Linked DNA regions of Caenorhabditis elegans. Changing the gene in region 2 together with the main gene of any one other region gives a genetic interaction. Each region holds a gene or a part of one and is shown on either strand. Other genes may lie near its edges.

Region 1 (11,137 bases), on a different chromosome or scaffold from region 2:
ATATATATATAACCTTCCGGCCGATATGCCGGACTCTTACCACTTCTTTGCTGTTTGGTGGGGAAAATAATACTAATTTTGCCATTTGGATAAATTTGTTAGAAGTTCAATTGTTCAATGAAAAAACGTTTGCGTGTATTTAAACAGAAGGTGTTAGTGTAGGCTTAAAGTAGGCAGATCTCATTGAAGGAAGATCTATATCGAAGCCCTAATACACAATTAAAAGTTTTATTTCTACTTCCTATCAAAGATTTTTTCTCGAAATTAACGGAATATTTCTTGCTATCATCAAAAATTGAAGTGAAAAGTTTGCGTATAGCTATCCTTATTAAACTTTGACCAAAATAAATCATTACATCACTATTCCGATTGAAACTTTTTCCCGATAGATATATATTTCTCCAAAAAAAACGGCTAGGTCAGATCAAATCTTATGATACGTCTAGACGTTCTAATTAACAGAATCTAGTTGATCCAACATCGCACATTCATTAATATTATCCATCACTTTCCTTCTTTTTTCATAAATTTATGATTAGGTTTCTCTGTTCATTATTTCAAAACATATATCTCCAAGATTCATTTGACCTATAATCAAAAACGGAGGTTTAACCATAAAACGATTCAGGAGAGTCATGCAACTGAATCACCGGAAGACTCCTTGAAAGTACCGGTCGAGGTCATCGAATCACGCAAACCTCTATCTCCACCTTCATCTTCTGCAAATGTGTCAAAACAACGGTCCTATACAACGTCATCATCCTCTTCGTCAAACTCAGCAATTGAACGATACAACAATCAGCAGAATAAAATGTAGAAAAAAAAGAAACTATTTAAATTTTTTATTAAAATATTTCAGAGGAAATCAAGATAATGAAGAAGATTATCCAAATTCAATGTATCACAGAGGATCACGGAAGAGGCCATATGATATGTCTACTTATGATGATTATGACGATATTCCATTATACAGACCAATGAGAAGAGGTTAGTTTAACTTGAATTCAAATTAATACTAAATTCTTATCGGAAAGCAATAATATAAATTTAAATCGAAATATGATTACTTTTAATTAAATTTAAACTATTTTTCATTACAATATGGTCTGAAAGATTACTTAAAGATCAAATAATCAACGATTTATGAAGAAATCGAACCTTGATGATCGATGTATCCTTTTATCTGTGATCATTAAAATATTTATCTCCGCGAAAATGTTGCAAAGAAGGAATATAGTTCAACCAACAAACATTTTCTCAAAATAATAAAAGCATGAAGTAGTTACTGAAATTTTATATCATACGAAACATGTTTGGTCATACCCCGAAGTTCAGGAAAATTCCAGTGATTGCTAAGATTTTTTTTCCAAATTTGAAATTAGGTAAAGTAGTTTCAAAAAAAAAGTTGTATGTTTACACTTTTCCAAAGTTATCTTAATATTCAGAATACCGAATGCGTCGCAGACGTCCGATACTCTTTTCTGATGACTTCTCGGATGAAGCTGGTTTCGATCAACAAATCGGAAACTCTGATCGTCATCAAACAACACGAGATCTTTCTCCATTAAGATCAATGAAACGTCTTCGCCATCAAATTCCATATAATCAACCATACCGAGTACCTGGACCAATGACTCTTCCAGTCTCTTCGACAACTAATATGCTTCATCGTCCAGTTCCATTGCCCGGTGCCCCACAACCAATGAGAATCCCGCTTCCTCCGGGTGCTCCGATGCCAATGCCATTGGCTCCACCAGGAATGGCTTTACCACCTTCCCAACCAATACAACCTGTTCAACAACAAGTGGGTCATGATATTCTTAAGTTGAAGCCAATTCTACAATCGAATCCTCAAGAAATGCAGGAAGCTACCGCAGAGAGTTGTGCAAAAATAACAAAACTGGCCAAGAGTTTTAGTATCAAAGATGTCTCGAAATGGGCGAGAGGCAACTGTCCCTTCCTGCAGGTAAATTTTAAAATATAGAAATCAAGGCTGCCACTACAGGTAGGCATTTAGGAGTGACTACGTGCCTATCTGTTACGTATTTTTGGTGCTCTTTTGTGAATTCCTGTTGTTGGTGTTACAACAGAGACACATTTAATCAAATCACTTTTTCACAATCATGTTAATTTTCCTTATTTGCAGATGTATGCTCCAAACGCCAGCTGTGAACTCATATTCCATTTTATTGATTCTTGTAAAAGCAAGAAATTCTTCTAAACTATGACTTAATTTTTCTCAAAATGTTCTCTGTTTTCTTTGCTCTTTTAGTTTTGTGCTCATCCTACATTTAAAGACATTTCCAACCCATACGGGATCATCTCATTTTATTTATTTCCACAATTGACACTTTTGTCGTCAGATTTCTAATTTATTGTTTCAGGTTCCTCTCCTTTCCACCAAAAATGTATTATTAATATTATTTTAATAATTTATTCGCATTCATAATCATTTCATCAAATTATTTAATTACATTACAAAGTTCTCAAAACAGAAGATTCTAATAAATAATTGAATTAAAGATTTTAGAAAAGCATTCAAGAGACTGGGAATTTTTTAACCAAAAGAAATGAAAATTAAAAACTGGGACAGAAATGGAAATATTAATCAAACGGGTACGCATTCGAATGCTTAGAACCAATCATTGAAGTGAAAATATTGAAGCAATCATGATCGGGATCCTATTTCCGGCCGTTCGTTATTAATACGGAAAACCTGAAGATTATTAATGGAACTTTAATTACTTGAAACAATTTTGTGTGTTATTTCAAGTGTTTAAATTTAAATTCAAATTCAAATTCAAAATGGTCTCAACTATGCCATACACTTAACAGTTAATTCCATTACTAGATCATATGTTGAATTTTTTGTGTTTTTGTTTTAATGATTGAAATAGTCATATTTTGTTTAATTATTTTATAAATAGAACCGGATAAGACAAATGTGAATATAATTATTAATTATTTGTCTTTCATGAAGTTTTTTAATTTATCTATTTATTTCGGAAACAAATATAGCCTTGATTCACCGAAAGAATCCAGGTGGCTAAAAAATCGATTCTTTAATCTTCAATGGAGATACTTTAAGCCTATACAAAAATTGCTAGCCAGTAAAATTCAGTAGTCGGCTCAGTGGTGTACAACATTTTCAGAGATCTTGGGTATTTCAGCTGCAGTTGGACCGCACTATCGGAAATTGTGTTTTAATATTATATTTTTAATTTAGGAAAAATTACATTAAAGTTTAAAAACTCACTGTATCATACTCATCAGCTGGCTCATGCAAGATAATTTCAATCCAACACGGTAAATTCACAACTTTCAAACGGGAATACGTTTCTCCGAATCCTTTACAGAAAGAGACTCTGATGTTGGAGAAGATTCTCATTCGTTCATCAGCCACCTCTTTTTCAGTTAAAGGTCCGAGAGCCAATGTTTTCTCCTGTTCAAACTGCTCCTTATCGAATATTTTCATTCTTTTTTGATCTCCTTTGTTTTGCAACCGAAACACATATTTCAGTGGCTTATTCAATGTCTGGTTCAGGAATGGGCATTGTACAAAAACAATTTGGTCAGTCAGTACAGTTAGCCAAAGTTCTCCATTTTCATATGCCAATTGAATTCCTGCTCCAACTGTGTTTCGGATTTGTGAGCTTTTTGAATTTCTCGAAGATGGTTGAGATGTAAGCGACATTCGGCACTCATCACTTGCTCCAGTTGCACCATCGATTGTAATTGTTGGGACTTTGGCTTCGAATGCTTTTCCTAGCTGAAAATATATCATTGTTATGCTATCCGTTTTTTGAAATTCTTTCTCAAATAATTTTGAACTTACTCGAACAGTCAGCTCGTAGTAAAATATGGTACACCACGGTTTTTCTTCTTTTGGATATTTGGGTTCAGGATCCAACATCTCGTTTCCAGTAGGACGTACTTCAACTACTGCCTTTTCAGGAGTTTTTGGTTTCAAAGAAGATTGGCTTGAGCTAAAAAAAGAGGTATGTGAATGTGTATAACTTTCAAATAAACGTACATATTTGAAAATGGAAACGGATCATTATTTTCATCAGTTGATGTTGACGGAACATTATAGCAATCAGGCATTGGAGCATCTTCCAACCAGTCGTTTATTGGCATGTTTGGATTATTGATGCTTGCCGGTAAGTGAACTTGATCTGTAATTTTTGTATATCAGTTTGAACAATAAAATAAAAGCTCAATTCCAAATGTTAAATTAGTCAGAAACTTGTTTCCCAAGTGATTGTGATCACGGTGACTCATATGGATGATGAGGGACTTAAGCTGGATAATTTTCGTTTTAGAACTTTCTGATTCATATTAAATCATATGACAAACCGGAAATAAATCGTCTGAAAAACATCGAAATCATACGAAATATTTTTAAAGATATTTTTCATGTTTATAATTGTTTTCTAACAAAAAATTGAAGCATATTTATATTTTATGTGATTTGAGGCATTCTGAGATCAGGAACTGAAAACGTCTGTTTTATAAATATATTTTTTGCAGTTATAGCCACTTCTGTCTAGTTTTCCAATAACTTTGTCATGTCTACAATTTGACTCACCTGGGTACATATAATTCCCCGCAGCCGCCCAATTTGTGGGTGTTGTTGTAGTTTGAAAACTGAAAAGTCGAATATTTAAAACGAGTTAAGAAAAACACAAAACAACAAGGAAGTCGGTTGGCTTTGATATTAATACAAAATGAAATAATTATGAGATAATGAGATCCTATAAGGAAGGGATTATCTAAGGATTACGAATATGAGGGTTGTTGGTGAAATTAGCTGACGTGAAAATAGAGAAAAAGTCAATTGAGTGCATAATAATGCCAGAATACCTATAGATAAGAAATAATGACGTCGTATTAGAGGTTTTGAAATCGGTTCAGTTAAATTTTTTTGCTCTCTATCAGCATGCTATAGAAGGAAGATAGTTTTGGGATATTCATTTGATAAATAAATATAAAAATAAATGTACTGAAATCATTCGATTTTCTAAGTGAAAAACACAAAATCATTTAAAAAATATGTTCACTTTTTCTTCAGGTCTAGTTTCCTTATTGTCAGAGTCTAGCAACGTGTCGTCATAACAGGTGTATTAGAAGAAATTAAAAAGTCGACTAGACTTGTTATAGGGCAAGTCTCACGACCTTAGATTGTTATCTCTCATAAGAGTGTACGTGAAGTTGCCAGACAGGTGCTGTCTCGTTCTTGAAAAAAGTGTATTCAACTATATATCTAATGTTAGATAATGTATGATGCGGTAAATTAAATGTTGCTACTTAACTTTTTTTCATATTCGGGAACGAACTATGGTTCCTTTTTAAAAACTAGATCTGGCAGAATAGAACCAAATATAGAGTTTTTGAAGAAAATTGAAATAAATATATGTATATGAGTATTGGAAACAGATCAAGAACTTTCACCTTTGTTGACGTCAGTCATACTCTTTCTTTTTGGAATTGCGCTCGTTTCTGACATCAGTTTATAAAAGTCGACGGTTAAAAAAATAGTATTGGAACTAGAAGAGACGTGAGAAATATTTTGAGAACTAGATAGGAAAAACGAGAGAGGAGAGGAGCGAGAGTGAGCGTTAGGGTATGTATGTGTGTGTTTTCTGTCACAACAAATGTAAGTGAAAGGAGGAAAGAAATGGGAAAAAAGAGAGAAAAAGAGAGAGAAGAGAGAGAGAGAGAGAGAGAGAGAACGGAGAGAAATAGAGAACGAATATACTCAGAGCATCGGCAACACGTGAGCTTCTGCTCCTAACAGGAAGAAAAAAGTTGGAGTGAGCGCGTAATAGGGAACGATAGCACGTGATCGATAAATAGAAGGAAATGGAAAAAAAGACGAGGTTGAGAACGTCATCTGAATTGTATTTTCAATGACGACTACTTTGAATGAATAAGAGAAATGAACAAAAGAAGGTTAGGGAAAGATGACAAAAGGTTCGTTATTACCGTTCGGAAGAAGAATAGTTCGAGGAGGGGTAGTTACGAAATAAAATTCGAAATATTTTTAGTTACCCTCTGAAATTTTAATTTTTTCATCTTTCCAACAAATTAATGTTTTTCAACATTGGAAATTTCATTGAATAAAAATTAATAAATTTAAAAAAATCGATAAAAAAATCCATACCGAAAACCCCTAAAATAGTGTGACTCTAGAACACTGCAACGTGGCTCTGTCTACAAAGTGTGGTCCATCTGTTGCGCTGTGCTCAAATATTTGCCGATTGCAGGAAAAGAGACGAGAACAGTAACACGAAAAGGTCAGATAGATCAAGAAGATATTATTCGTTTATTGGGTTAAGAGATCAGATTCATAAAAGGCTCGTAGAGATAAACAAATTATCATAATTTTCGGCTTTAGATGTTTGTTTGATTGTGCCTGTTGGAGTCTAAACTTCGAATTATTTACAAAAAATTTTTTTTGAAAAATTTAAAAAGAGAACATTGTGGTTTTTTCCCTATTTTTCATCAAATTTTCCTGAATTTCTTGGAATATTTGGGGACTTCTTTCATAATTTTTTAAAAATTGCTAGGAATTGCAAATTGAGTAACAAACCACGATACTGAACTTTTGGGGAAACTTCAAAATGTAAATGAGGAAAAGACAGGGGCAAATACAATAATTGTGTTTTGATTCCGGTGAACTCAAGAAGAGCGGGTACGTTGCAAACTACGAGAAAGAGAGGTATTTATTGTTTCCGCCCCAGGACATCCGTTGTAAACTTTTTGGTTCAAAAGATCAAGACACAGAAATGCGTAGACAGGGCGGAGAGAGAAATATGCATCTTGTCTTATAAAAGTCGGAACGAGTCAGTCAGGTTAACAATATATTTCCATCTCACTGTCTACGGGGGAAGTGATAGTGTGCTGGACAAATATAAAACTTATTTGGTTTGAAACGTTTTGTTGAAGTTACTGATATAACTTAGTGGTGTTGCCTAATAATTGGAACATTCTAGGTTTTTTTTCAAGCCGAGAAAACAGTTCAATTACTTGTTTTTTGTAAAATTGAGTTTAAAGTTTCAATAGAGTAGAGCAGTCCAGAAAAGTCAGACAGATTTTTGAAATAAAAAGCTTGAATCATCAAAAATAGCTTCCAGTTTGTAAAACCCTGTCAACATTGGTATATATATTGGACTAAAAATAGTCAGTCACCTTTAATTTACTTTTGTTATAAGTTTACATAACTAAAATTGCATTGAAAAAAGTTTTGAGCGACTTTTATAATAGTTTGTTAACAGCCGGGAGTTAGGAAACTATTTGACACGGAAAAATTACAAATTATTTTTCATTAAAAAACAGAAGTAAACATAATTGAATGTGACTATTATCGGAAAAATCACGTGGTGTCAGGCTGTTCCATGTCCCATATGATCTACAATAAATGCGGGAATTGAGACGCAGAGACAACTGTTATTGCACGGTTAAGACATCTTGACACATCGTAAAAAGTACGATTATAAATGTTATCAGCATCACCCGTTTAAAAACTTACTTACCCAAACTCGGCAAAATCGTCCATGATTCCTAACTCTCCTTGGTTGTTAAAAAGTGATCCAAAATCTTCTTGTTCGTTGGACATTATAAATGTTTCTGCAAAAAAATGTGTGTTCGAAACAACAAATCTCCAAAATATAAACGGAAGGGTGCCGATTTATGGATTGTTTGAATAACAGGTAACAAATCAAACATCTACTACACAATTTTTGCACTTTGAATGAAAAAGTCAAAAACAATTGTGTGAAAAGCGAGACTTTAGATGATCAAGTCACATCCAAAAGTATATAGAAAGAGTAGAAAATGAGCAGAAAAACATAGAAACGCAATGACTCCATGGTGATGGTTTTATGTGAAGTGGCGTGACTAGGAAGGGTTCAATATGAGACAAATAAATACGAATTGACATTACTAAACGATGCACATCAGGTTGTTAAGCCAGTAATAGACCCAATTGTACCTTTAAAAACGACTAGAATTTTGATCATAACAAATTATTCGATAGTTGGACAACCCTCGATTGCAAATAATTTGGATCCAGTTTTGAAGATTCCCTGTAATTCAGCAAAATAATATTCTGTCAGATTGAGATTAATGGTGGAGCTTGGCCAGTAGAGAAATGATTAAAAACCACAGAAAAAGAAAAATGAGAAAAGTACATTGGTAATGTGAACGAAAGTTAAACGTTGAAAAGATAAGTTTATTTGACGATCAAGAAGATATTGAAATGAATGATCACGAATGAAATGATACCTGTTCGATTGAAAGTATTGTTTGAATTGTTGAATAGAATCTCTATGAAAGACTTGACACGTTCAATCGAAACTCTCATATTATACATTCGACAGAAAAAACAATTTTTGGTCCCTTGCAAATATTTAATTTTATTTGCAGTTTTGCAAATTACGGAGATGAAAACTGTCCTTATTTCTTCAAACAGTTTCGCAGATAATAACTTATTTATTATATATTCATCAGTATTCTTTTCTCGAAATGTACATATAAACCGGTAACTAAATATCGATATTTCTGTTTTTTGGTAACTTTGTCATTCATCACAATGGTCCACGTAACGTTTTTCCAACAGCTCCTCTGACAAGACTTCCTGCGTATTCCTCGTCAAGTTTGAAATATGTTGAAACTTTCAGATAACGATCGTGGAAAGTTAATCTGAAATTATAATAAATTCATATTATAGAGCTCGTTTCAAACTCACTTTGGACTCTTCAGAATTACACCTTGCATGGTTGGCAGAGCAATTCCCATTTGAAGAATTTCAGTGAGAAGCTTCTCTAAAAATTCAGCACCAAATAATCCCAAGTCGGAAAATGAATCTTGGTCGACATCGTTGATTTTTGTTTCAAGGAGCTGAAATATGACAATTTGATTAGCACCTCAAAACTGAAACATCCAGGCCGGCTTCCAAAAAAATAAATTGGTGACAATTTTCTTGGTGAAATATCATATAATCGCATTCAAGTCTTACCCAAGTTCAAATTTTTCCATCTTTAACCCAAAATGTTTTAAACTAGTGTGGAAGATTGGGATAGATTGGGCCTATTTACATTTTACGTAACCTCTTTATTTTACAATTTTGAGCTTTCTGGTGATTTTAAAGGCCTATTAATAATTTACGTTTCGATTAAATTACCATTTGTAAAAACACATAAAAACATATAATATTTGGCGTACGTCGTACGACTTGAAATTACATAGCTTCAGTAAGAATGATTCATAGATGATTGGATGAAACATCTCACCTTAAAATCCAAATTTTCAATCGTTGAGTTTCCAACAATAATTGATCCATTGATCCACAAGTTTACGTTTGCAGTCATTGTCGTGTCAGCTTTTAGGATCTTTACGAAAATAAAAGGAATTTCTGTTTCATAGAATCAAATAAATCAGTACCTGCTGTTTAACTTGATTTGGCTTCGAAGGTCTTACGTACATATTAAGACCTCCATGGAGTCTAAACCGAGACCTATCATCAATGAACACAATTAGTGGAGCCTGAAAATAAGTGTGTCAAATAATTAGGATCGTATATTAGGTAACCTACTTTCTTTGCGAAAAATTCAATTTCAACTTGTCTATCCGGGAATTGTTCTCCAAGTGTACCAAGGAACTCTCCAAGACAGAAACCAGCAGGACCACAACTTGTAAGCAAAAGTCCTTGAAGCTGTGGAGAACTTTCGGGTCCAACTGTGACGTCAAGGAACTTTTGACGATATGAATGATACAACATTGAATTAGCCAGATAATCACTTGCATAGAATTCAATCATATGAACTCCTGAAATAAATTACTTTTAGAACGGCAGTTGAAATAATTCATACCATGTGGAGGTGGAATTCTAACATTTGGTGGAAAGAAGGGAGTTCCACCTTGACCTCGATATGAGATTTCTCCCTTTGACATCATATTTACAGCACCATTTTGTACAAATGGAGCTGTCAACATTTGATAATCCAACACTAACTCCTTATCACGAAGCCGTTGTACGAAATGGGTCAAGGTGATATTCTTGGCATTCAGATTTGATAACTTTCCAGCCCGATGATGCTGAAATAAAGGTCGTTAAAATCAAAAGAAAACAGTTTGAAAGTTGAGCATTCGACTCTAAATTTTCTACTGTAACTCAAACATACTAAATTATCCGATAATTAGACAATTTTTCAAAATGTTGACTGATCTAAAAAAAATTTAAAGTACTTTTTAGTTATAACTATAGGTTTCATGGCACATTTTGAGTATATATTTCAAATACAATACAATTTATTATTTTTTTTGTACACCTTCAAAATAATTGGATTCAATCTGAAAATACGTGACAATATCAACTGGCAACTCATTGAAAGCCTTGTAAAAGATTACCACATCGCTGTCAAACAGATGGCAAACTTTTTTCAAACTTTCTTGTTTCTAATTTCCCTACACCCATGCAAATTTTCTAGCATCAGTTTGGTAATTCAATCATAAGGCTTCATTTGAGCTATCGATTGTCGTGGTTTTTTACGACTTTGAGCCTCTTGATCAACGTTTAAAATATATTAATGAGACATACCTCACCTTTCTTGGAGCAACTCCAAATGTTTCTCCGATGATGTCCAAGTTGTTCTCATTGATTCGAATCTTTAAAATATTCAAAAGTTTTCAGAAAGAAAATTTGAATTTACTCACTTTTAGGGGCATGTTGGATAGTAAAATATTCATATCTCGATCAATAATCGATTCAATCATTTTACACATCTTCTGTTCAACTTGTGGTTTGAAGTTTCCAATCAAGAATGCTTAAATGTTTGATTTAAATTTTATGTTTCAGGGATCAACTTACCTTTAAACGCGTTGATAAAGAAATCAGTGATAACTCCAGTGTTTCTTACATTCAAATCAACATATCCAATTGCACTTCTGCATCCAGTAGATCTTACTTGAGGAGCTCCATTTGCATTTCTAGAATTTTCTCGTTTCAAAAATCAAAATTTATCAAAACTCCCTTACCGTTCCATATTAACAGTAATATACAAACTAATGTGACCTAAAAGAGCTTCAAAATGCCCTGTAATTGGTACGGTAGGCAACAGAAGAGGACTATTCAAAG
Region 2 (10,639 bases):
AAAGAGGCGGAGCCTAATTTCGCTTTCTCTGAGACGTTTTTATCAAGGGCATTTTATCTGTTATCAATGAGGGGAATATTTTTGAAGAAAAATTTTGAAACCAGTAATTTTTAAAAAAGTGAAGTTATTGTGTAGGTACAAAAGTGGCTGTTAGCCTGCCTGCCTACTGGTCCTACCTCCATGTTTGCCTTCCCGTACCTGTCTACGCCTACATTTCTGCCTAGATTTGCTTACGCTTTTTAAAATGAATTGATGTACGCCGTGAACTTATGTAGAACTATGTAAAAATGAAATTTTAAATTAAAAATATTTAACATTATTTAGTTTTAACTCGCCAATTTATTCTGAAAACCAAAAAGATGACTAAATCAGAATCGGAAGAAGAGGACAAATTTAAGCCTGTGAGTTTTATTGGAAAGTTGGCACTTTAGCTTCAAAATGTCTTACAAGTAATCCTTCCTTTGTGCCAGCTTATCGTCTTGCTTGAAATTGCCTGCCTGCCTGCGTGTTTAGCCTCCCCGTCTCCCTACATATGCCTACCTACTTACTTACCAATGCATCCACCTAGGCCTTCTGGCTACTTTGCCGTTTTGCCTACCTGCACGCCTAGCTAGTAGCCTCATATTTTTGTGTTCTCAATAAAGTGGTCTTTCAGGGAACCATAATCAGAAGCCGTGAAGCCAAATACGTGATACTTAGTCAACTCTTTGACGGTACTATTGTTGGAGAGTACTTGGTAAATGATATCGCAAAAAAGCAATCGTTCACAATGAAAATCGAACAAACAGAAATAAGACGCAATGAAAAGCTGAGAATGGAGATTTCTGTTTTGAAATCGGTGGATGGCGGTGAACACTTCCAGAAAATTGTGGATCGCAGGAGAAAAGACAGAGATCATTTCTGTTTTTTGGTTTTGCAACAAGTTGGAAAGTCATTGGCTGATTTGAAAAAAGAACGAGCTGATAAAGTATTCTCATCTGCTACTGGGCTCGGAGCAGCACGCCAGTGTTAGCAGGCAATTGAAGAGTTGCATAAGAAGGGATTCGTTCATCGTGACCTGAGAACTGGTCACTATGCATGTGGACTTGGTGACAAACGGCATAACATTTATCTTCTCAACTTTATATTCGCGCGGAAGTATGTCAACTCCAACAATGAGCAGAAGTCCGCAAGAAGAGGAAATGTGGGGTTCAAGGTGAGCGTAGTATCTAACTCTATTAGTGAAATTGTTTCTAGGGAATTTCTCGTTTCGCATCGATTGCAAGCCACCTAAAAACTGAACTGAGCCCCAAGGATGACTGTGAAAGTTGGCTCTACACGCTGCTCGGCCTCATCCTTCCAAAAGATGTTCCATGGCGTGATCTCCAGGACTGGAATGAGATTCTGAAAATGAAGCAAGCATGCCGGACAACAAAGCGTGATAAACTCTTTGCTGGAATCAAGCAGAGTAGTGAACTCAACAAGATCCTCGACTACATCGACTCGAGAGTCTATCAAGATCGTGTGGACTACCAGTTCATCTACAAGCTGCTCGCAGATGCTTGTACTACCGCCGGTGTTGACATCAATGCACCGTATGATTGGGAGAGGGAGTCGGAGTAAGAAGAATCTAGTAAGAATACTACTAAGGGTAATAAATACTTTGTCCGAAGTTTAACTTGTGGCGAAAAGTTTTTGAAAAATTTTGACCAAAACTTGATTTTTTCCCCAATAATTTAGTAAAATGACACAAAAATGAGTTATTTTAATGTTTAAGCAGACACACCAGGGGTGGGCGGTAAACGATTTTTTCCGGCAAATCGACAAACGGGCAAATTTCCGGAATTGAAAAATTCCGGCAAATCGGCAAACCGGCAAGTTTCCGGAATTGAGAACCTCCGGCAAATTAGGAAACTGGCAAACTGCCGGAATTGAAAATTTTCGGCAAGTCGGCAAACCGGAAAATTCCGGCAAACTGCCGGAATTGAAAATTTCCGACAAGTCGGCAAACCGGCAAATTGCCGAAATTGAAAACTTAACCTGAGCACTGCAAACGTTTGAAAAAAAAGTTGAAAACTTCCGGCAAATTGTGAAACCGGCAAATTGACGGAATTGAAAATTTCCGGCAAATCGACAAACCGGCAAATTGCCGGAACTAAAAACTTCCGGCAAATCGGCAAAATGTGCCAAAAAATAGAAATAATACGTTCATTACTGAATGTCAAATTCAATTTGCACAAATAGATAGAAAAAACGACGAAAATAAAAAACGCAGTGATACCGTAACTGTTGCTTTGGGATGGAGACTGTCCTGAATCGAAGGGGGGAGTTGGGGGGATTTTGGCTACTCAAGAATGACAAAATACATATTGAACCGGGCAGCATATATATATATATATATTAACAGAAAAAAAGAAGTGATTATTAAAAAGAGGAATTTCGAACCGAAAAGATTATTAGAAATAGGTACAAGTTTTCGAGTAGCAGCATTTGGTAGAGATACATTGATTTTTTAAAGTGCGTATTTTGTTGTGGAGAGGACGGTGTTAACAACAGATAGGAATATGAAAAAAATGGGGAAAAGAGGTACCTAATAGTATGGCAAGTGGCGAGAGAGATGTGGGACAGAAAGAGAGAAAGAGACAGACAGAGAGGTAAAATGAATTTAAAAACAATACGACTAGCGTCATTTTCAATATATGTACATAACCGGGGTGGGGTGCAACAATTCTCACAAGTGTTTTGTACATGAAGGAATGATAGGTTTGGCTTGAAGGAGAAAGGAATACATAATGGAATAAGAAAGATCATCTAATCAATTCTTGACGGTGGTGGTTTTGATAAACTGGGCCAATTGCTCATAGGCACCGGCGGTGAGCTTCGGGTAGAGGGAGAGAAGAGCTGGAGATGACATGGCCGTGGAGAGTTGTTGTTTCTGGAATTAGTTATATTTAATTTCAAAATAGAAATTAATAAGCGCAAATCACAAACTAGTAGCAGTGTATTTTTTCTACACTTTTACGACTTTAAAGGTCTCGCTACGCGCCATCCATCGATTTTTGGAGCGCGTGGCGAGACCATTTTGAATAAATGCGCCCTTCTTTAAAGTCGTGAAAGTTGGAAAAAATACACTGTCAGAGTGTCCCATATTGGTTTGATCTACGTAGATCTACAAAAAATGCGGGAGTTGAGACGCAGAGTTCCCAACTGAATTCGCATGGTTAAGAACGTGCTGACGTCACATTTTTTTTGGCGAAAAATTCCCGCATTTTTTGTAGATCAAACCGTAATGGGACAGCATGTCACCACGTGATGTAGCTCTCATTTTCTAAGATCTTTAAAACGAGCCGAGATATCAGCTTTTCTGTATTTTGGAGTAAAATCAAAGTGTTGGTGTTTGCAGCACAGGTCCAGCGAGTGTGAAGAGACACAGACGTCCCGGGACCCAGGGCGCGGGAGCAAGAAGAGCCGATTTGTGTCGATTTACGGAGGAATGTCTGTGTCTCTTCAACTCTAGATCTACGAGTGCTTAAACGGGAGCTCTAAAAAATTCAACTCCCCATGTATACTTACCAAAAAATCAGAATTCGGCGAGATCGGCAACGCTGCAGGAATCGGCGTAATCACTGGCGCCGGCGTAGAAACCACTGGCGGTGTCACAATCGGCAGAGGAAGCTTGATCCCAGACGCGATCAGCTGCTGGGCTAACGCCACAAAGTTGATATTTCCCAACGAGATCGGCTGTACCGGAGCCGGCTTTGGTTTTGGTGGCGGTGGCGGTGGCGGCAGTGGCGGCAGTGGCGGACGGTTACACAGTACACGTATCGCGTCTGCCGAGACATTCTTGAGCAACGCGTGCTCTCTTAACACGAACTCCATTGGAGTCAAAAGTTTGGCGTCGCGATCGAGATTGGCGAATTGCTCGGCGAGCTGCTGGATTTCTTGTCGCGTGGCTTTGGAGGCATTGTCGAAGTGGCGCATGTTGTCGAACTCTCCTTTGGAAACGTCGAAGTTCGCTGACGCTCGACTCTTAAAGTTCGGATCCTTCATCTTTGCCTTCCATTCTTGCTGCTGCGTGACGACTTTATGTGTGAAATCGGACTCCTTCACCCACAAATTGTATTCTTCAGGCGATTTCAGGAATAAAGCCTCGAGAGCTGCATCGTCCATTTTGTTAAGCTGCTCGATGATGACTGCCTCAAATTTGTTTCTAGGCTTTAGGCCTTTGGATCCAGATGGTCCGAGGAAGTCGGCAATATGGAGATTCTCCATCTTCTTCTTGTTCCTCAACTTGCACTTCTCAATATCTGCATCTCTATCCACAATCTCCTCGCCTTCCTCTTCTTCATCAGCTTCCCAGCCGTTGTCCGCGGCCACCGGCACAGGTGTCTCCATAGCGGGTCTCTTCGGCGGCGCCTGATGCGGCGCAGCTTCATCGTATTCACGCTTGCCAGCTCTGTGCGAGTTCAGGACAAATTTATTCCAGGCTTCCAGGTTCTCATTGGATTTATCGAATACTTCAATAAGCCGAATCCACTGGAAGCTGTTACAGCCGGTGTGCACAAAACCGCTCGGCTTGATCGGATAGTGATGGTGCATGATGAAGTCGGTCGGTGTGAACTTTCCCTCACAATGCTGGCATTCGATGCATCGCATGTTCCGCCGATTCTTGTACCAATAGCCGTGTGTTCCACTCTGCATCACATCCTCCTCCAAGTCATCGCTCTCCAACCATTCGCTGCAGTAGTCGATGAAGTTGACGTGCACAACGTGAACTCGATCGGAGATGTCCCTGGAAATGGCTTTGGTTGTTTTGTTGGTCTAGCTGGTTTTTTTTGTCTTTTTTTTAGTTGAGTTTTTGGCCTTTTGACCCCGAAAACTATTCAGATATTCAAAGAGACTCGAAAGATGATGTCTCTTCTCTCTTTTGAAAAATGAGCTTTGGCCGAGAAATTGTTTTCTTGTCGGGCTCTCTATTTAGAGTGAGAGATGCGTAGGAAGCGCGGCGTCCGGAGCTTGCTTCTAATTAGAGAGCTGCCCCGGCCTCACAGGAGTGTTTATGCTAGTGGAACTTAGGCTCGCCACACTTACCAGTTGTCGTGCTCGGCCAACGTGAGCATGCTCTCCAGGCGGAGCTCGCCCATGATCCGTTCAATGTCCGACCGGCTCATCAGGCTCAGCGATGTGATGTTGAGGTTTTCGCACTCCTTGCTCTTCTCCATGACTGCTCGGAACTGGGATGGCGACGCCATTCGGATGTAGACGTTTTTGTAGCCTGGAAAATTACCTTTTCAGCAAAGTCCTGTTAAAAGGGTCGAGGGTGCCTGGTGTTCCCGAGAGAGATCATGCTAAAAGAAAAAAAAACTTACGAAGCAAATTCTGAAACGACATCTGATCCTTCTTGTCCTTCTTTGTGAGCATATCATCGAGAATCTCAATCGGCAGGTGTGGCTCCCCATCGATGGACAACGCTGGGACACGGACTCTGCAAGAATTTTGAATTTTTTTTTCCGAGGTCTAGACGGAACTAGTCAAACTAGTCGCCTGGATAACAAAATAAAATAGAGTGAACACGCTGCCCTATCGAAAACATGGAAGTGCACCATGTTTTTGTGGAAATATTTTTGCTGTTTTTTAGACGATGACGCCATTGACTTCTTGGTCTTGTGATTGTTTTTTGAAAATAAAACTACGCTACTAGGCTTGTTGTCCCAGACTTCTCGCTGCACCCCCAAAGCTTTACGCTGACCTTTGCTCAGGTTGAAGTGGCGGCGGGGCGAAATATGTGTACGTACAGGATGTGCTCTTTTGAGCTCCGACAAAATGTTGCAGGCTCCTTCTTCTTTTTCTTCTTTTTCTGCTGCAGCTACTCCTCACCCTCATGTGACATTGTGAGGGGCGCGCGCGCCTCAAATGTGAATGCATAATGATTTGGGACCCCTTGGCTAGACACTAGTAAGAAGGAAGAAGTGCGCGGAGAAAAAAGCAATGGGATAGAATGAGGAAGGGGAGAGATGTGATTTTTGGAGTCCCTCTCTTTTTTTTGTGTTGCTTAATGTTTTTTGAGGATATATGTCGAGCAGGTGAAATTAAATGTGACTCATTAGGGGGTTTTTGAGACTCTCGACATTTGGTTCTAGGTTTCGCGATTTTGAAAAAGCGAGGAGATTGAAACTCCGCAGAAATCTAAGCCTAAGCCTAAGCTTGAGACAAAGCCAGAGCCTAAGCCTAAGCTTAATCCTAAGCCTAAGCTTAATCCTAAAAGTCTATTTGTCAGCAAAAAAGAAAAAAAGTTGAAATTCCGTAGGAATCTTAGCATAGGACTAAACCTAAATTAAAGGATAAGGTTAAGCCTGAAGTGAAGCCTAAGCTTAAGCCGAAGCCTAGGCCCAAACTTAAGCCTAAGTCTAAGCCTAAGCCCATTTTTCAGCAGTAAAAGTCTGCTCACCCCAACAACCAAATCCACAAGAATCTCCCCGGATCGCTATACTTCTTCTGATGGATCACAATCCCATCGGCTCGAGAATCCTTCCGCTTCGCCGACGTCGACGGTTGCCCATCATCATCGTCGTCTGATCTCGTCTCCTCATGCAACGCCTTCAAGTTCGCAATCAATGGATCAATGTCCATGAGGTCTGGGGTTCGGTGCTCCGGCTCCACCTGCTGCGAGGAGCCGATCGGCGAGTCGGACATATAGGATCTGTAATAAGGAAATGAATTAGGTAAGGGTGGGTGGGAGGAAGCAGCGAAAATGCAAAATATGTACAGACGAAATATATATTTATCAGAATAACAATGATGTGGCATATTGACACACAGAACACAAATCACATGTGATGTGTGAGGATAGATGAGCTGGCCTGGCGCAAAAATCTGTGAAAGGTGTTAAATGAGGAATTAGACGGCGAGACAGAAACTCTGCTCCGCCCCAGAAGGCGTGTCTTTTTGCTGCTTCTCGTGTGCCCGCCGCTATCCGCCCATTTCGTGTTGAACTCTTGACCATCGACTAGCTGCGAGAGCACAAACAGACGCTATTGACACAATATAGTAAAATTTACTATGCCAGACTTGAGAGCCCGAACATTTTGAGTTTCGAAATGAAAAATAGGAAAAAAAAAAAGATTATCAGAGATCTTGGAGGATTAGGATTAACTACAATAACAAAGAAGAACACGAAAAGTGTGACGGAATTGATGAAGGTGGATATAGTCTTATAGGTCAAGATTTACATATGATCTTACACTTTTGAAAGTTACGAAAAAACATTGTGATTTGGAGGCTAGGACGTCTAGAGATATTTCCGGTAGTAGCCCAGAAATTAGAAAATTGAAATATGAACTTCTAAGAAAATCAGTAAAAAAATGTAGCACCACAAATGTATGTAGTCTAGACCCCCGAAGAAATCGGACGGACATTGCAACATTGGGTTCCTATCGCAAAGCCAAGTGGGCGAGAAAGAAGAGGGACAGATGAAGAGTGAGACAGTGCTGGCGGTAGTAGGTGGGAGGGGGGAGGAGGAACTACGTACGATCTTTTGATTCGTATGGTCTTGTTGGAAATGTGTTTGTATATGCGAAAAGATAGATAGAAGATGGGGTGGTGGTGGAGCAAAGAGCAATAAGTTGTTGTTGTTGCGAAAAAGCTTATAGCTGTGTCGGTGGCGTAGATACAAAAATGTTTTAAATTGGCAAAATGTAGAAAAAAATTTGCTGAACATTTTTTTAGTTGACAACTTTTTTATAGCATTTATAGCAATTGAGATATGGTGGCTCAAAGATGAGACAGCATAGAATTCAAAAAAAGTGCAAAAAGATTGGAGCAGTCTATCTCTACAGGAATAGGTGGAACACAAATTTAATCAACTGGCAAAAGGTAGAAAAAAATTTGCTGAATATTTTGTTAGTTAACAACTTTTTGATAGCTCACAAAGCAACCGAGATATGATGGCTCAAAATTGAAACATAGTAGTTTCAGGTGTGCAAAGATTGGAGCAGCCTATCTCTGCAGGAATTGATGATACAAAAAGTGATCAACTAAAAAATTGTACAAACTTTTTTGTTGAATATTTTGTTAGTAAACAACTTTTTGATAACTTTCATACCCACAGAGATACATTAGCTCAAAGTTGTGACACGAGAAATAAACTTTGGAAATTCAGCGCCACATGACAAACGTCAGCGAAAATTTGAAAGAACACAAAAAACACAATGGCATATAATTATCTATAGATATTACTGCCCAAAGCCGTTCAACTCAAAAAAAATTGTGCACAATTCATGAGAAATCAAGCCAAACAACTGGAAGCTTATGCGTTATACGTGAGGAACGCGTGAGAATTTTCGAAGCCAAAATGCAGATGTATTTTTCCTACATAAACATGAATTTTGAACACCTAATGGTTTTTGAAATTATTATTTTGCTTGAAAATAACAAGAAAAAAAAACTGCAAAAACAAGATGTGACTGAGGGATTAGCGTTATAGACGTTATCAGTGTAGTCTGTGGAAATACAGGAAAAAAAATAATCAGAGAAAGATGTGACTTGAAACAGTTGTAGCTAGGTAGGATTAAGAGATATCAAAAAAGTTACAACTAGCAAAATGTAGAACTAATTAAGGGCTACAATTTGTGAGTTGACAACTTTTTGATAACACATATTCTAGAGGAGATATTGGAGATCAAAGCTAGCTACTTTGAATCAAGAAATACCAAAAAGGTTGTCAACTGGCATAACGTAAAACAGATTAAGAGCAACAATTTGCAAGTTGGTAACTTTTTGATAGCGATTATGTTGAAGGAGATACAAGAGCTCAAAGTTATAGATCACAGAATCACTTAGCAAAAAGTTATCAACTAACAAAATGTAGAACTATAGTTCTACATTTTGTTAGTTGCCCACAATTCGTTAGTGGAAAACTTTTTGATAGCGACTCATTCTAGAGGCGATACGATAGGTAAACGAGGGCTTAAAGATTAAAGACCAGTGTGACACATTTTTTATCAGGAAACAAATATGACACTTAAACATAGTAATTATCCAAAAATATGGAGCTTGGATTCTAAGAGCAAAGTACACACACACACGGTAACCATGGAAATGTTCAAAAACCAAAAGTGCAAAAATGATGGGGGTCCATAAATAAAGAACAAGAAACATACATAAACAACATTCCGCACCGATATTTTCAAATACATCAGCGAGGAAAAGAGAAAAAGAGTGAAAAGTCTGGCGCCAGAGACCCCTCCCGTCGCGTCGTCTTCCACACAAACAGACACTACTAACGACTGCGACCAAACGGCGAAGCGCAAAAAAAAAAAAAAGACGGGGAGAGGACATGTGACCGAACTTTTCTTCCTCGCCGCACTTCTTCAGAGTCTCTCTCTCGTTTTCCATGTTGCTGTGCTAGCAAAGAATGTTTCTGCAGAAGAGGGCGCCGGGCGCCCGCGCGCGTGGATCGTTGAAAAATGTGGAAAGACGTCTAGACGCAGTTGATGGGCTGTCTCGCCTCTTCTATCTCTCTCTCTCACTCTCTCTATCTCTGTGCATCTCTGCTCGGGCTCCTCTTCATGATGAGGTGGGCTAGACGGCATCGTTGTGCACTCTCTCGCTTTGTCTGCTCGTCTATTTCTCGTTACGTGGTTTTTTGTGCTAGATGTCGTTTTTTTTTTCTTGCCGAGCTCACGAGTTCAAGCGCTCGCTGGCTCCGCCTCTGGCGACGAAAGGGTCAAAGTAACAAGTGAGAGTATATGGATAGGCGGAGTTCCGCCGGAAATCGGATTTTGAAGACGTGAGAGTCTGAACATTTTGGGGTGTGTCGATGCACCATGTTGTTAAGAGCTACAAGGTAGTCGATCGAGTGTGGACGAAAGTTTGCGAAAACTGAACAAAGTTTGACAAAAGTTGGTTGAAAGTTGACAAAAGTGGCAAAGCTTTTGATGATAAGTTAGCGAAAGTCAGACAAATTTGTCGAAAGTTTGCGAAAGTTGTCGGAAGTTTTGGAACAAGTTAGTCGAAAGCTGGCGGAAGTTAGAGAAAGCTAGTCAAAATTTGACAAAATTTGGAACAAGTTAGTCAAAAGCTGGCGGAAGTTAGAGAAAGCTAGTCAAAATCTGGCAAGACTTGAAAAAAGTTAGTCGAAAGCTGGCGGAAGTTAGAGAAAGCTAGTCAAAATCTGACAAAATGTGGAGCAAAGTAGCCGAAAGTTGTCGGAAGTTATGAAAAAGTTAGTCAAAATCTGGAAAAATTTGGAACAAGTTAGTCGAAAGCTGGCGGAAGTTAGAGAAAGCTAGTCACAATCTGGCAAAATTTGGAGCAAAGTAGTCGAAAGTTGCCTACAGTAGGCCAAAGCCCATGTAATTTTGCCAAATGTTGAAAAAAGTTCTACTCATGGTTCGAAAGTTTGTCGAAAGATGACGAAAGTCTGAGAAAGTTCAGAAAAACTATTTCTAGCCAGAAGCTACCGTAACCCTTTCTACACATATTCCTCCCTCATTCATTGGACCCTTTCAATTCTTAAGACCTCCACCATCTTCCGGCGAAGAAAATGAGAAATGCGAAGACGTGAGAAATGAGAAAAACCCCCGACACTGCAGTGCCGAGCTGTCAGTCTAAGATGAGCTCCACACACACAGACCGCCTTGGAGGAATTGGACAAAAATCG
Region 3 (11,462 bases), on a different chromosome or scaffold from region 2:
TTCAGAGCAAATATTCACAAATTTATGCAATTTGAACAAAAAAAAGCAATCATAAACTCGAAAATCGGAAAATAACCTGAAATTCGGCCAGGTCAGCAATCGCGCCCCACCGCAAAAGAGAACAGTACCCCAAAATCAGATATCCCGCCAAAACTACAAGAAAAAATTAACTGTGTCCACCACCACCACCACCTAATTGTCTCCCGCGAATCACTTTTCTCCCCCCCCCCCCCCCCACCTCAACCTCCTCACCGCCCGCCCGGTGGCCTCCAAAACAGTCTGCGTCTCTTCGCTCTCCACTCTCTCGTCTCGTGCCACACACCACCCCGCCACGCTCTGAAAAAAAGTTATCGAACTGAAAATCGTCATTTTTCTATTTCTTTTCATAATTTTTCTGCCCGCCGGGGTGGGGTTTCTGACAGTTTTCCACGTGGCGGCACAGCTCAACAATAATCGATTTTTCAGTTGTTTCAAAAAACTAATTTTTTTTTCCTTGGTTTCTCTAATTCTCTCATAGCTGGTAATCTCTCGTCAGGTGTCCTCACCTAACTATTAATTATCGATTATCTTTTTATTCGAAATTTCAACAACAAAAAAATGCATCACAAGTTACTAGTTACTAGGTAACCTACTACTTATATTTTAGATTTTTTTCAAGTTTTTTTTTATTTTTTAGTTTGAAAAACGCTTTCTTTCAAAGTTTTCTCCCTTTGAAATTTGGTTTTTGGTCCGTGTCCGAGAAGAGAAAAAACTCGGCCACCAATTTTTTTTCGCGGCCACATATTTTTCTTACGGCTGTCCGAGGCTCTAAAAGTCAATTTTCAAATAGATATAGACTAAAAAAATCAAAACTAGAGAAAACTCGGCCACCGATTTTTTTTCAGGCCATGTGGAATTTTACACCACTCCCTTTTTTCTGAGAAATCAAGAAAACTCGGCCACCGATTTTTTGCAATTTTTTTCGGTCACCATTCCCAAATTCGCAAAATTTTCAAACGAAAATCGGCTATAAAAATCCTTTAAAAATAATTTTGGCCTAAAAAAAGAAGGTAGAGAAAACTCGGCCACTGACTTTATTTCGCGGCCACGTTTGGCGATGACATTTTTCAAAGAAATTTCACATATTTTTTTCCGAACTTCCACAATTTTGGTCACGTGGCCTCGAATGGGGAATCCTCGGCCACCGATTTTTTTTCGCTTTCAAGGTTTGATCCAAAAGAATCAAAAATAATTGGTGGCCGAGTTTTTGCTTTTGTCAAGAGGTCGTAAAATGGAAACCTGAGCCACCACTCTGTATTTTTTTTGTTTGAGAATTCCCTTCAGGTGCACTTCTACTTACATTAGTTTCAAAAAAAACCTGAAATAGAGAAAACTCGGCCACCGAATTTTTTGGTTGTCAAACTGTGGCCTAGTTCTGCTTTTGCCAAGAGGCCGTGAAATTGAAACTTAGGCCACCACACTTTAATTTTTTTTTCACAAAAACTGAGATAGAGAAAACTCGGCCACCGATTTTTTTTTCTCGGTCCCGTTTTTTGCCAAGCCCTCATTATTTTCAAAAAAAACACACACAAAATGGTGTATGGTTACTAAAAAAAAGAGGTCAGTGATCATTAATCAGATATCAGTTTTTGGTTTTTTTTGCCATGTTTTCTCACATTTTTCGGTTGGCAGATTTTCGTGTTTTTTTCTTTCTTTTTTTGATAAATTTATTCCTCGCTTCAAATGGCAAATGGGGTGACTTGAACTGTGTGTACGTGCATGTGAGAGGGCAGAGACGCAGACAGTGAGGGCCCCTCGGAGCAACAGATGGAGAATTATGTCAAGTTCAGTTGTTTACACATTTTTTTGCAGAACCACTCCCTCTGTGTTCTCCATCTCTTTTTTTTCATTGTGAAAAGTGTGTGCTTCTCAGTATGAAATGAACTTTGTTCGAAAAATTTTAAAATTGTTAAATGACAAGGCTTCCACAATTAAATTTGCAATTTTTTGATAGTTTTAGTACCCACGAGAATACCGTATTTCTTCTATTAGTATGGCCTCCCTATTAGACTTGCACTCCCTATTAGTATTGCCCCTCGGAGACCTTCCTTTTCTGAATTTTTACATAAGATTCGAGCTTTTTCAGAAAAAAAAAACTAGTAAGCTGAAAGTCAGAAAAATGTTCTGAAAATTAGTATTGCACTCCCTATTGGGCAAAAATAAAAAAAGTATTGCAAGCGGGAAGACTATCGAAAAATAGTATTGCAGCCATACTAATAGAAGAAATACGGTATAAGCAATTTAAGATTTTATGCTATCATTTACTATATATAAAGCGCTTATTCCGTTTGTCCATAGTTTGTAGTCTATGTAGTCTTTGTAGTCTGCGAAGTTTTAGCTTCTGGAGGGATATAAAAAATGGAGGGATATAAAAAAAAAATCAAAAATTTATTTATTTATCGATTTTATGAAAAGTTAGCAGGACCGCGTAGACCGGTACATATAGGCTAAGAAGCTATTTTTAGCAAAAATTGATAACTGTCTTGTGAAAAACATGTCTGTAAAGTTTCGTAACGAAAACTCAATCGGTTGCTCAGAAATGAGCCCAGAAGCCTTATGGAAACAAAAAATAAGGAAAAGCTTAGTACAAATTCATCTCTAAAACGGTTCAAAAAAGTCCGAATCGTATGAAAATGCACCAGAGAGTGACATTTTGTGTAATTTACCATATTTGAAAGTTTGGTAAAAATTGGAAACTCAGTAGCTTCAAAACGAGCTTAAAGGTACTAAAATGTGAAAATTAGAAGAGTTCATGCTTCCGCTTGTTTCCATGATATGAAATCAAAAAATACACTGGTAAAACAAGTGAATGAACGTTATTTAACTTTTTAAAATTTTGACACTTTTCGAAAAAATCGAAGTTTTCGTGAAAAATTTCCAAATTCTCGAGGTGTCCCATAGCAGTTGGGCGGTCGATTTTTTAACTTTTCGCTCGTTTGCTCTCAATTTTTCAGCAATCAGAATAAAATTGTAGGTACATAGGTTTTTTGGTATGCTGAATCCGATTCCGATACTAGTTTTCCATGAAAAAGTTCGAAAGTGTCTGAAACCCTAAAAATTAGGGGGTGTCCCATAGCAGTTGGGCGCACTGTATATGCATCCGTTTAAAGTTTATTTTCTACTAGCCAGCACAGTCCATAGAGTTCTAAATAGCGTTATCCCGTGCTGCGAGGCTGCCCCATTTCGTTTTGACCTACAAAAAATGCGGGATTTTTTTGCCTAAAAATATGACGTCAGCACTTTTGTAATCATGCAAAATCAGTTGTGAACTCTGCGTCTCTTCTCCCGCATTTTTTGTAGATCTACGTAGATCACGCCGAAATGAGACACTCTGAAGTAGTTTCTCCAAAAACCTCACTGAAAAATTTTGTGCAACGTTATCTGTATAGTTACAAATTTTCGATGTCTACTAAAAATATTGCAAATTGAATTATAAAGAGTTGGTCAGTTGAGAAAATGTTTTCCCATCCTACTCTCTATATCGAGTTATACATTGTCAATCTCATATCCTACCTAATTCCAAAATAACACTCAATTCAACAATAAAAGAAAGTCACGTGGCAACGCGAAAAAAAAAAGATAAACAAGGAACGTCTTCTTCTTCTCTATTCAATTCCATTCATAGTGGACTAGGTGAGCCGCTCGTCAGTATCTGCTCACCGTCTGCGTCTCTGCTTGGCTCTTCTCTTTCTCTCCATGTGCTCCGGCTCCCCCTCCTCACACTCAACCACACACACACACACACGTATACATATCTTCTTATAGTTTTGTTGCATGCTTCATCTCTTTTCTCATCTTTTGCCTTCTATGTACTTTGCTTTTTTTCCAGATCTCCTGATGAACTAAACTCTTGGGAAATAAATTATGAGGATACGGCACGTGGTGTTCTGCCTGCTCGCACTGGTTTATGGTGAGTACTTTGAGGTTTTGGTGTTTGATAGCAAAAGTCATCAATCTATTTTTCGGGTTAATTGGGTTAATATAGGTATTATTATGCAGCTAGATGATGATTTGGTTCTATCTAAACAAAAAAGTGCAATTAAAATCGAATTCTCACTGGTTTACATAAATTTTTAGTTATAATCACAAATTTAATAGTTTACGCTCTATTTTTTTTTTTGACAAACTAGATATAGTTAAACATATTTGAAATTTGATCCAATATCCAATATAAGTGAAATCAAGTTAAGGTTGTTAAGTTTGATATATGTAGTAGTAAATATATAGAAATGTTTTTCATATCAGGTTCAGCCAATCATATTCGAGTTGCGTAGTGCTTATGCAGTTGATAGGTTTTTTGGTATAATCTAGTTATGTTGTAACTCTAAAAAAATTTTCTAATTATCATCACGAATATGTATATCGTTTAAGAAGTTAGAAAAAAACACTGATTATTTTTTTATTAGCTCAAAAAGTATGTATTAGTCCCATTTAGCTGGCTTTTAGAAATTCGTGTTTAATTTTGATTAGTTTGACTATGGAAATTGTTTGAGCCCAAAGTTAAGCAATTTATGTTATTGCAGATTAGCTGCAGACTTTTTCTATTAGAATAGAATCTTATTACATAGTTATTATTGCCTAATTTCAGCTATACAAAATGCGACTTATCAACTTATCATTTTAGTTGTAGTTGATCGCAGTTGAAGAAAATTGAAATGTTATTATGATCTTAAAAAAATACATATCACTTTAATTATGAGTGACTTGAAATTGCTATTTTTTATTGCAATTCATAGTTGATATATGTTCAAAAAAGTCAACAAGTTAACTGATTTGCTGATAGTGAATATTAAATTTAGCGCAATGAGCAATTGATGCAATTAAATGTTAGTTGCAGTTTTATTCTGTTAGTGGGTATTTAGAAAATAGCTAGGTGCAATTTAAACTAAATTTTCAACAATTTAGGAATTTAAACTTTACTTTTTAGTCGCATCACTTATCTAGGCACCCCACTTTTTAACTTTAAAAGCGCCTAACAATAAGTATCTAAGTTGTCCTGTATTTTATTTTAAAATTGCCAATTTGTTAATTTTTTCTCTATATAATTAATTATCTATTGATATTTACAAAATGTGCCGAGTCCTGCCCTTCCAAAGGAAACTAGTGGGGTGCAATACCAATAGAAGAGTACAAAATTTACAGAAGTCCAAAATAATATGCATCACGGTTGAGAGCTTTTTAAATTTGTTATCAGTATTTAGGCCTTGGCTCAAACACATCATAAATTGGTACCTGTGCAAGAAAATTAACCAAATACAGCTTTCTACGACCCTTTTCAATTTTTTCCAGGCGCCGAAACTTCCGACGATGATCTCGACGAACGGACAAATATCTTCATCCGTGATAAACTGATTCCGGCGTTGAAGCTTGCAGAAGGTAGTTTGTTTTTTTGGACTCAACAGAAAATAATCGCCGGCACTCAAATTAGATGGCATTTATCGTCAGAAGAAGCTTTGGGCAAAATCCCCCGGTAGCAAAGCAAAATAATTTCGTTCGATCAAACATTAAAAGAGATTTTCAACTATATATATAATCAGTGATAAGCCTATAATCTTTAGTGTTTCCCCCGAAAGCACTAATCTATGGGAAATTTCCTTTTCGGGGGACGTGAGTTTATGCAGAAAAAAAAATTGAAGTTTAGTTTATTTTTGGAAGGATTTTTAATCTTGTGATAAGGGATTTAACAAGATTTTCTGATTTTCTTGCAGTGACCAAGGTGAATTTCACACGATTACACTTATGCCATTGCTCAAGGGAAGTTGGATGCAACGCGAGGACTACCGGATGGGTGCCTGGAATCGAGTTCCTTAATGAGACGGATCGCAGTTTTTATGAGGTTAGGCTTTAACCATGTGGTCGAGTTTTTCCTTGCCCGCAATAGATCCTTATTGACCAAAACTACAGTAATCCTACAGTACCTCAACCATCTTCCTCTATTAGACCTGTCACCAAAGTATTTGACAAAGCAAAAAAACAAGAATAATTTAATTACTCGATAACTCCAAAAAACAACAAAAAATTGTATTTTGGTTTTTTAAATTTCTTTATCTGATTGTGAATATTTTCGTTTTCCCCGCGATTTCTTTAAAAGATCAAAAGACTAAGACTAAGATAATCTTACAGTACCCCGACCCTATCCCTCCACTAACCTTAATCTCTTCAAAAAACAATGAGCATGTTTTCTCCTAAGCTACAGTAATCCTACAGTACCCCTACAGTACCCCAGTACTACTACAGTACCCCGACCCTATCCCTCTACTAATCTTAATCTCTTCAAAAAACAATGAACATGTTTTCTTCTAAGCTACAGTACTCCTACAGTACCCATACAGTACCCTTACAACACTACTACAGTACCCGACCCTATCCCTCTACTAACCTTAATCTCTTCAAAAAACAAAAAAAACATGTTTCTCCTATACTACAGTACTCTTACAGTACCCCAGAGGTGTCCTTATAAGTTTGACTAGTTTTTGTCATTTGGCAGTAAAACTACGGTTCTTCTAAAATTTCGGTTACTTGGTTACTAGGTCTCAATTCTCACACTAGACCAATCCTCTCTTTCCAGAACACGTGCTACACGGACGGAAGCTGCTACCAGAGCGCTCGGCCGTCACCCGAAATCTCACATTTCGGATGCATGGACGAGAAATCTGTGACCGACGAGACCGAGTTTCACGATACGGCAGCGAAAGTGTGCACGAACAACACGAAAGACCCGCACGCTACCGTCTGGATTTGCTGTGATAAGGGAAATTTTTGTGCGAACGAGACGATCATCCACTTGGTAAGTGTGATCTCTTTTTTGACATCCGGATTTTGAATTTTCAAATTTTCAGGCGCCAGGCCCGCAGCAGTCATCCACGTGGCTGATTCTTACTATCCTCGCCCTGCTCACGTTCATCGTGCTCCTGGGCATTGCAATTTTCCTCACCAGAAAATCATGGGAGGCGAAATTCGACTGGTATATAAGATTCAAGCCAAAACCTGGAGATCCTCTACGCGAGACGGAGAACAATGTACCGATGGTTACAATGGGCGACGGTGCTGGAAGTTCTGTGCCAGAAGTTGCTCCAATCGAGCAGCAGGGAAGCACAATGAGCACATCTGCAGGGAACTCGTTCCCTCCTGGAATCATGCCTAATAACATGAAGGATATGCTTGATGTACTCGAGGAGACAAGTGGATCTGGTATGGGTCCAACTACACTTCACAAACTCACGATTGGTGGACAGATCAGGTTAACTGGTAGAGTTGGATCCGGAAGATTTGGTAACGTGTCACGTGGAGACTACCGAGGTGAAGCGGTCGCTGTGAAGGTTTTCAATGCGCTCGACGAGCCGGCGTTCCACAAGGAGACGGAGATCTTTGAGACGCGGATGTTGAGGCATCCGAATGTGCTGAGATATATTGGAAGTGATCGGGTTGATACTGGATTTGTAACAGAACTTTGGCTGGTGACAGAGTATCATCCCAGCGGGTCCTTGCACGATTTTCTGCTCGAGAATACGGTTAACATTGAGACGTATTATAATTTGATGAGGTCGACGGCAAGTGGACTTGCGTTCCTGCACAATCAGATTGGAGGGAGCAAAGGTAAGTGCAATATACATGTGTCTCAGAAATCTAGGAGCCTAGACTAGGCCCCTGAGAAGAAAAATTTGGACCAACGGTGTCTGAAACTTTTCTATTCAGAGAGTAGTCTAGGACGCCAACTGAGTCCGCTGGCCAGACGTACTCTGTCGTTGAACATATATTAATCAAAATACAAATTCCAGAGTCCAACAAGCCAGCGATGGCTCACCGGGATATCAAGAGCAAGAACATCATGGTCAAGAACGATCTGACGTGTGCCATCGGAGATCTCGGTCTCTCGTTATCCAAGCCAGAAGACGCGGCATCAGATATTATTGCCAATGAGAACTACAAGTGCGGTACTGTTGTGAGTTTTGGGATCTAGGCCATTTTAGTCAGAGAGCTCAAGGCTCGAGACCCTGCCAAGACGGAGGTTTTGGCGTAAAGTCTAGCTATAATCTTTTTTCAAAATTTTCACAAATTAAATTTTTTAGAGATACCTTGCACCGGAAATCCTGAACAGTACGATGCAGTTCACCGTCTTCGAGAGCTACCAATGTGCCGATGTCTACTCATTTTCTCTAGTCATGTGGGAAACCCTATGCAGATGTGAAGATGGAGATGTTCTGCCGAGAGAAGCGGCCACAGTGATCCCATATATTGAGTGGACCGATCGGGATCCACAAGACGCTCAGATGTTTGATGTGGTTTGCACGCGGAGGCTCAGACCTACAGAGAATCCTCTGTGGAAGGATCATCCGGTAAGATAATAAACTTTATGTAAAGTACTTCTAACTACTTTTCAGGAAATGAAACACATTATGGAGATTATCAAAACGTGCTGGAATGGCAATCCGAGCGCCCGTTTCACCTCCTATATTTGCCGCAAACGAATGGATGAACGGCAGCAACTGTTGCTGGACAAGAAGGCAAAAGCTGTGGCCCAGACGGCAGGGGTGACAGTTCAGGATCGGAAGATTTTGGGTCCCCAGAAACCGAAAGACGAGTCACCGGCAAATGGTGCTCCGCGGATAGTTCAGAAGGAGATTGATCGAGAAGATGAGCAGGAAAATTGGCGGGGTAAGAATTTTGATCAGGCTCCTATTGTGGACCGAGCTACTAAGCCCGGACCAAAAAAAAACCAACATTTTGGGTATCATGTCTATCTGGTGCCTTAAATACCCTACGAATTTAGAAACTTTTCTCAAAAGCTTCCAACTAAACAAATTATCTTTAACCTTGAAGGTCAGATCTACCTACTACCTAATACTATAGTAGCGGACACTTAATAAGTCCAGGTCCCTAACCTAGCATAGTTTATATGCCCGCCACCGTAGAATTTTGCGCCTTTAAAGTGAAGAACACTTTTCAACATAAATTAATTTTTTTCAGAAACTGCAAAAACTCCCAATGGACACATTTCCAGTAATGACGACTCGTCACGCCCACTTCTTGGTTAGAGCCCATTTTATCTTCGTTCTTAGGCGCCAATATATCAAAATTATTATAATTATTATGTTCTATATACTACACTTATCACCTCTCGTGACTTCCTCCCACCCCCATATCGATGATCTCATTTCTCTTCCTCAACCACTAACTGTCTGCTACCTATTTCTTGTTTATTAGCGGGTGCATTATGCAGCTAATTGTCCGGCGCCCCATCATTCTAAAAGAGACTCCTCACCGTGTACCTCAGAAAAACATAAAAATCTTGTGATAGGTATGTACTGCATAAGCTTTATTACCCTCCCCCGAAACTTTGTAGTTTGTAGTTTACCCTGTTTTTTTTCTGTACCATGATTTCAAGTGTTTTTGAAATTTTATTTTGTTTTTATTGTTATTATTATTACTATTTTCAAAAAAGGAGAAAACACATTTCAATGCAAAAACTGAAAATGAAAATAAAAAATTTGATTTTAAGACATGATAATTATACAAATATCAAAGACGGGCGGAACAAGGGATTGGTGGGAAATTTGAATCTTTCATAAAAACTCAAATTAGTGGGCTTTAAATTGGGTGGAGCTTTAGAAATTGCCACAAAAGGGGCGGAGCTCTACGCTCCGCCCACAAAATGGATGGACTGCAATTTCGCCTCAAATTTTACGAAAATTCAAAAAAAAAATTTTAAGCGCCGCGCACAATATGGTTTTAATTTTTGAAAAAAAATGAAAATTGTATATTTTTGACCTATCCTTACCCGCCGTCTCTAATAATTAGTTTTTGTAGAAATACGGAAAAAGTGCACCAGGATTGTGAGCTTGGTTACGGAGAATTTTCTTCAAAAATAAGAAAATTCCTAGAAATAACGAGATTGTGACGCTGAAAAATGGAAAGAAAATGTGGGGGATGGGGGCGGAGTCACACGTGGAATTTGAAAAAATTTGTGGGGGCGGGGCGAGAGATAAACTACAAGAATAATGCAAAAAAAGTGAAGAGAGATCAGATTCATAAGAAAAAGTGTAAAAAATGTGGGACCCCTTTATTAGTAGCGCACGGCGAGGGGTACTGTACCTCCTAACAAATTTCCAATTTCAGGGCGCACCACTAATAGAGGGTAAAGAATCAGTGCCTAAAGTGGGAGCCGAGGCTTCTTCAGTCAGTGACTGGCGGCCTCGTTTCCGCACCTTTCCCGGGCTGAGCTCCTGGTAGTGAAGCCCGTTTTCGGCGCTCCCAGACGTCGTTCTTGCCCTGAAAATTGGAGGATTTGGAGTGGGAGGGGTATGGTAGGTACGGTTGGTACGGTAGGTATAATAGACAGAACTGTATTACAACTGTTTGACCTATAGAAAACGCGGAAATTTTGGTTTGAAGTCATATTCCAGAAATAAAATTCCTGCGATTTCTGTTGGTCAAAAGCCCAAAGGACCTCTGTAGTACTGTACAGTCATATTACTCGATGTACAGTACAAAGTTTCACTCTCCAGAAAAATAAACCCAGTTATAAACGTTTCTATCAAGCCAGTGAACACTCTGACTTTTATCAAACGTTTCTTTTTTCCAATGAAATATTATATATAGTTCAAAAAAAAATCTGCACTTCAATTTAAGAATTTTGCCTCCAAACTTACCCGTAATTTATTCGAACATTGCTCTGAAATATTTCGGGAATTTCAAAAAATTTTCTGACTCCAAAACTCAGAAAACCGGTAACTTTACTCTCAACTTACATCCATAGGTTTCCAAGAACAATAAGGCAGAGGTAACCCATCTGGCCCAGTAGGACATGGTGCATCGAGTCCAGGTATTCCCTGATCTCCCTTCTCTCCAGCTGGACCAGGCCTTCCGTCGATTCCTGGCTCCCCATCGTTGCCGGGCGGACCTTGTGGACCCTGAAATTGGTATTTTATTAGGGTTTTTTACGAAATTTTTTGAAAGAGTCGCACCATAGGCCCCGGATATCCTTTCGATCCTTCGGGCCCTTGTTTTCCCTGTAACTCATTGCGGTTAGGCTTTCATGAATCACCAAACACCACACTACACAAAGAAAATTGAAAAGGACCAGGATGCCACTACACCGAGTTTGAATTAAAATGAAAAGAAAAAAGAAAAAAACCAAACCTACCGTTTCTCCCTCTGTGCCGTGAGGGCCTCGAAGACCCATCGGGCCTGGTGGACCTGGGAGACCCAGGGATCCAGGCTGGCCTGGAAGCCCTGGAGGTCCAAGATCACCCTTTTCTCCAGGCGGTCCTGGAAGGCCAGGTGGACCCCGTGGGCCTGACTGACTGCCGCTGATCTCTCCGGCGCCCTGGAATAGGTTCAGGTTTACTGTATGGGTAGTGAACTTACAGGTTGCCCTGGCAATCCGGGCGGTCCGATGTCTCCTCGATCTCCGCGCTCTCCGG

The links.
Region 1: of daf-5 (region 2) and daf-14, changing one suppresses a phenotype caused by changing the other (phenotypic suppression), as found in Caenorhabditis elegans (one study listed by BioGRID).
Region 3: of daf-5 (region 2) and daf-1, changing one suppresses a phenotype caused by changing the other (phenotypic suppression), as found in Caenorhabditis elegans (one study listed by BioGRID).

What each region holds. Positions count from the first base shown.
Region 1 is NC_003282.8:10,247,127-10,258,263, reverse strand, and holds daf-14 (Smad-related protein daf-14), read right to left. Parts: upstream 7,638-11,137; 5' UTR 7,619-7,637; coding exon 7,536-7,618; intron 4,648-7,535; coding exon 4,589-4,647; intron 4,176-4,588; coding exon 4,034-4,175; intron 3,987-4,033; coding exon 3,836-3,986; intron 3,770-3,835; coding exon 3,257-3,769; intron 2,717-3,256; coding exon 2,669-2,716; 3' UTR 2,412-2,668; downstream 1-2,411. Other genes in the region: F01G10.9 (aECM cysteine-cradle domain-containing protein), read left to right, coding at 629-813, 860-987, 1,446-1,966, 2,147-2,221; F01G10.10 (BPI2 domain-containing protein), read right to left, coding at 8,589-8,703, 8,750-8,901, 9,294-9,392, 9,445-9,546, 9,596-9,828, 9,873-10,098, 10,606-10,668, 10,717-10,826 and 2 more. UniProt on the Caenorhabditis elegans protein: Probably an atypical receptor-regulated SMAD (R-SMAD) that is an intracellular signal transducer and transcriptional modulator activated by TGF-beta-like daf-7 signaling.
Region 2 is NC_003280.10:14,031,043-14,041,681, forward strand, and holds daf-5 (Ski protein homolog), read right to left. Parts: upstream 6,680-10,639; 5' UTR 6,673-6,679; coding exon 6,428-6,672; intron 5,465-6,427; coding exon 5,349-5,464; intron 5,255-5,348; coding exon 5,071-5,254; intron 4,772-5,070; coding exon 3,553-4,771; intron 2,915-3,552; coding exon 2,795-2,914; 3' UTR 2,178-2,794; downstream 1-2,177. UniProt on the Caenorhabditis elegans protein: Probable component of transcriptional regulatory complex with SMAD protein daf-3. Required to regulate entry into a developmentally arrested larval state known as dauer, in response to harsh environmental conditions.
Region 3 is NC_003282.8:128,548-140,009, forward strand, and holds daf-1 (Cell surface receptor daf-1), read left to right. Parts: upstream 1-3,868; 5' UTR 3,869-3,903; coding exon 3,904-3,949; intron 3,950-5,328; coding exon 5,329-5,415; intron 5,416-5,747; coding exon 5,748-5,875; intron 5,876-6,607; coding exon 6,608-6,826; intron 6,827-6,878; coding exon 6,879-7,635; intron 7,636-7,817; coding exon 7,818-7,981; intron 7,982-8,108; coding exon 8,109-8,375; intron 8,376-8,420; coding exon 8,421-8,694; intron 8,695-9,006; coding exon 9,007-9,074; 3' UTR 9,075-9,534; downstream 9,535-11,462. Other genes in the region: col-99 (Cuticle collagen 99), read right to left, coding at 10,152-10,308, 10,689-10,711, 10,788-10,949, 11,004-11,048, 11,183-11,365, 11,407-11,462. UniProt on the Caenorhabditis elegans protein: Probably involved in a TGF-beta pathway. May be a receptor for TGF-beta-like ligand daf-7. Controls the decision of whether or not larvae enter a developmentally arrested state, known as dauer, in response to environmental conditions.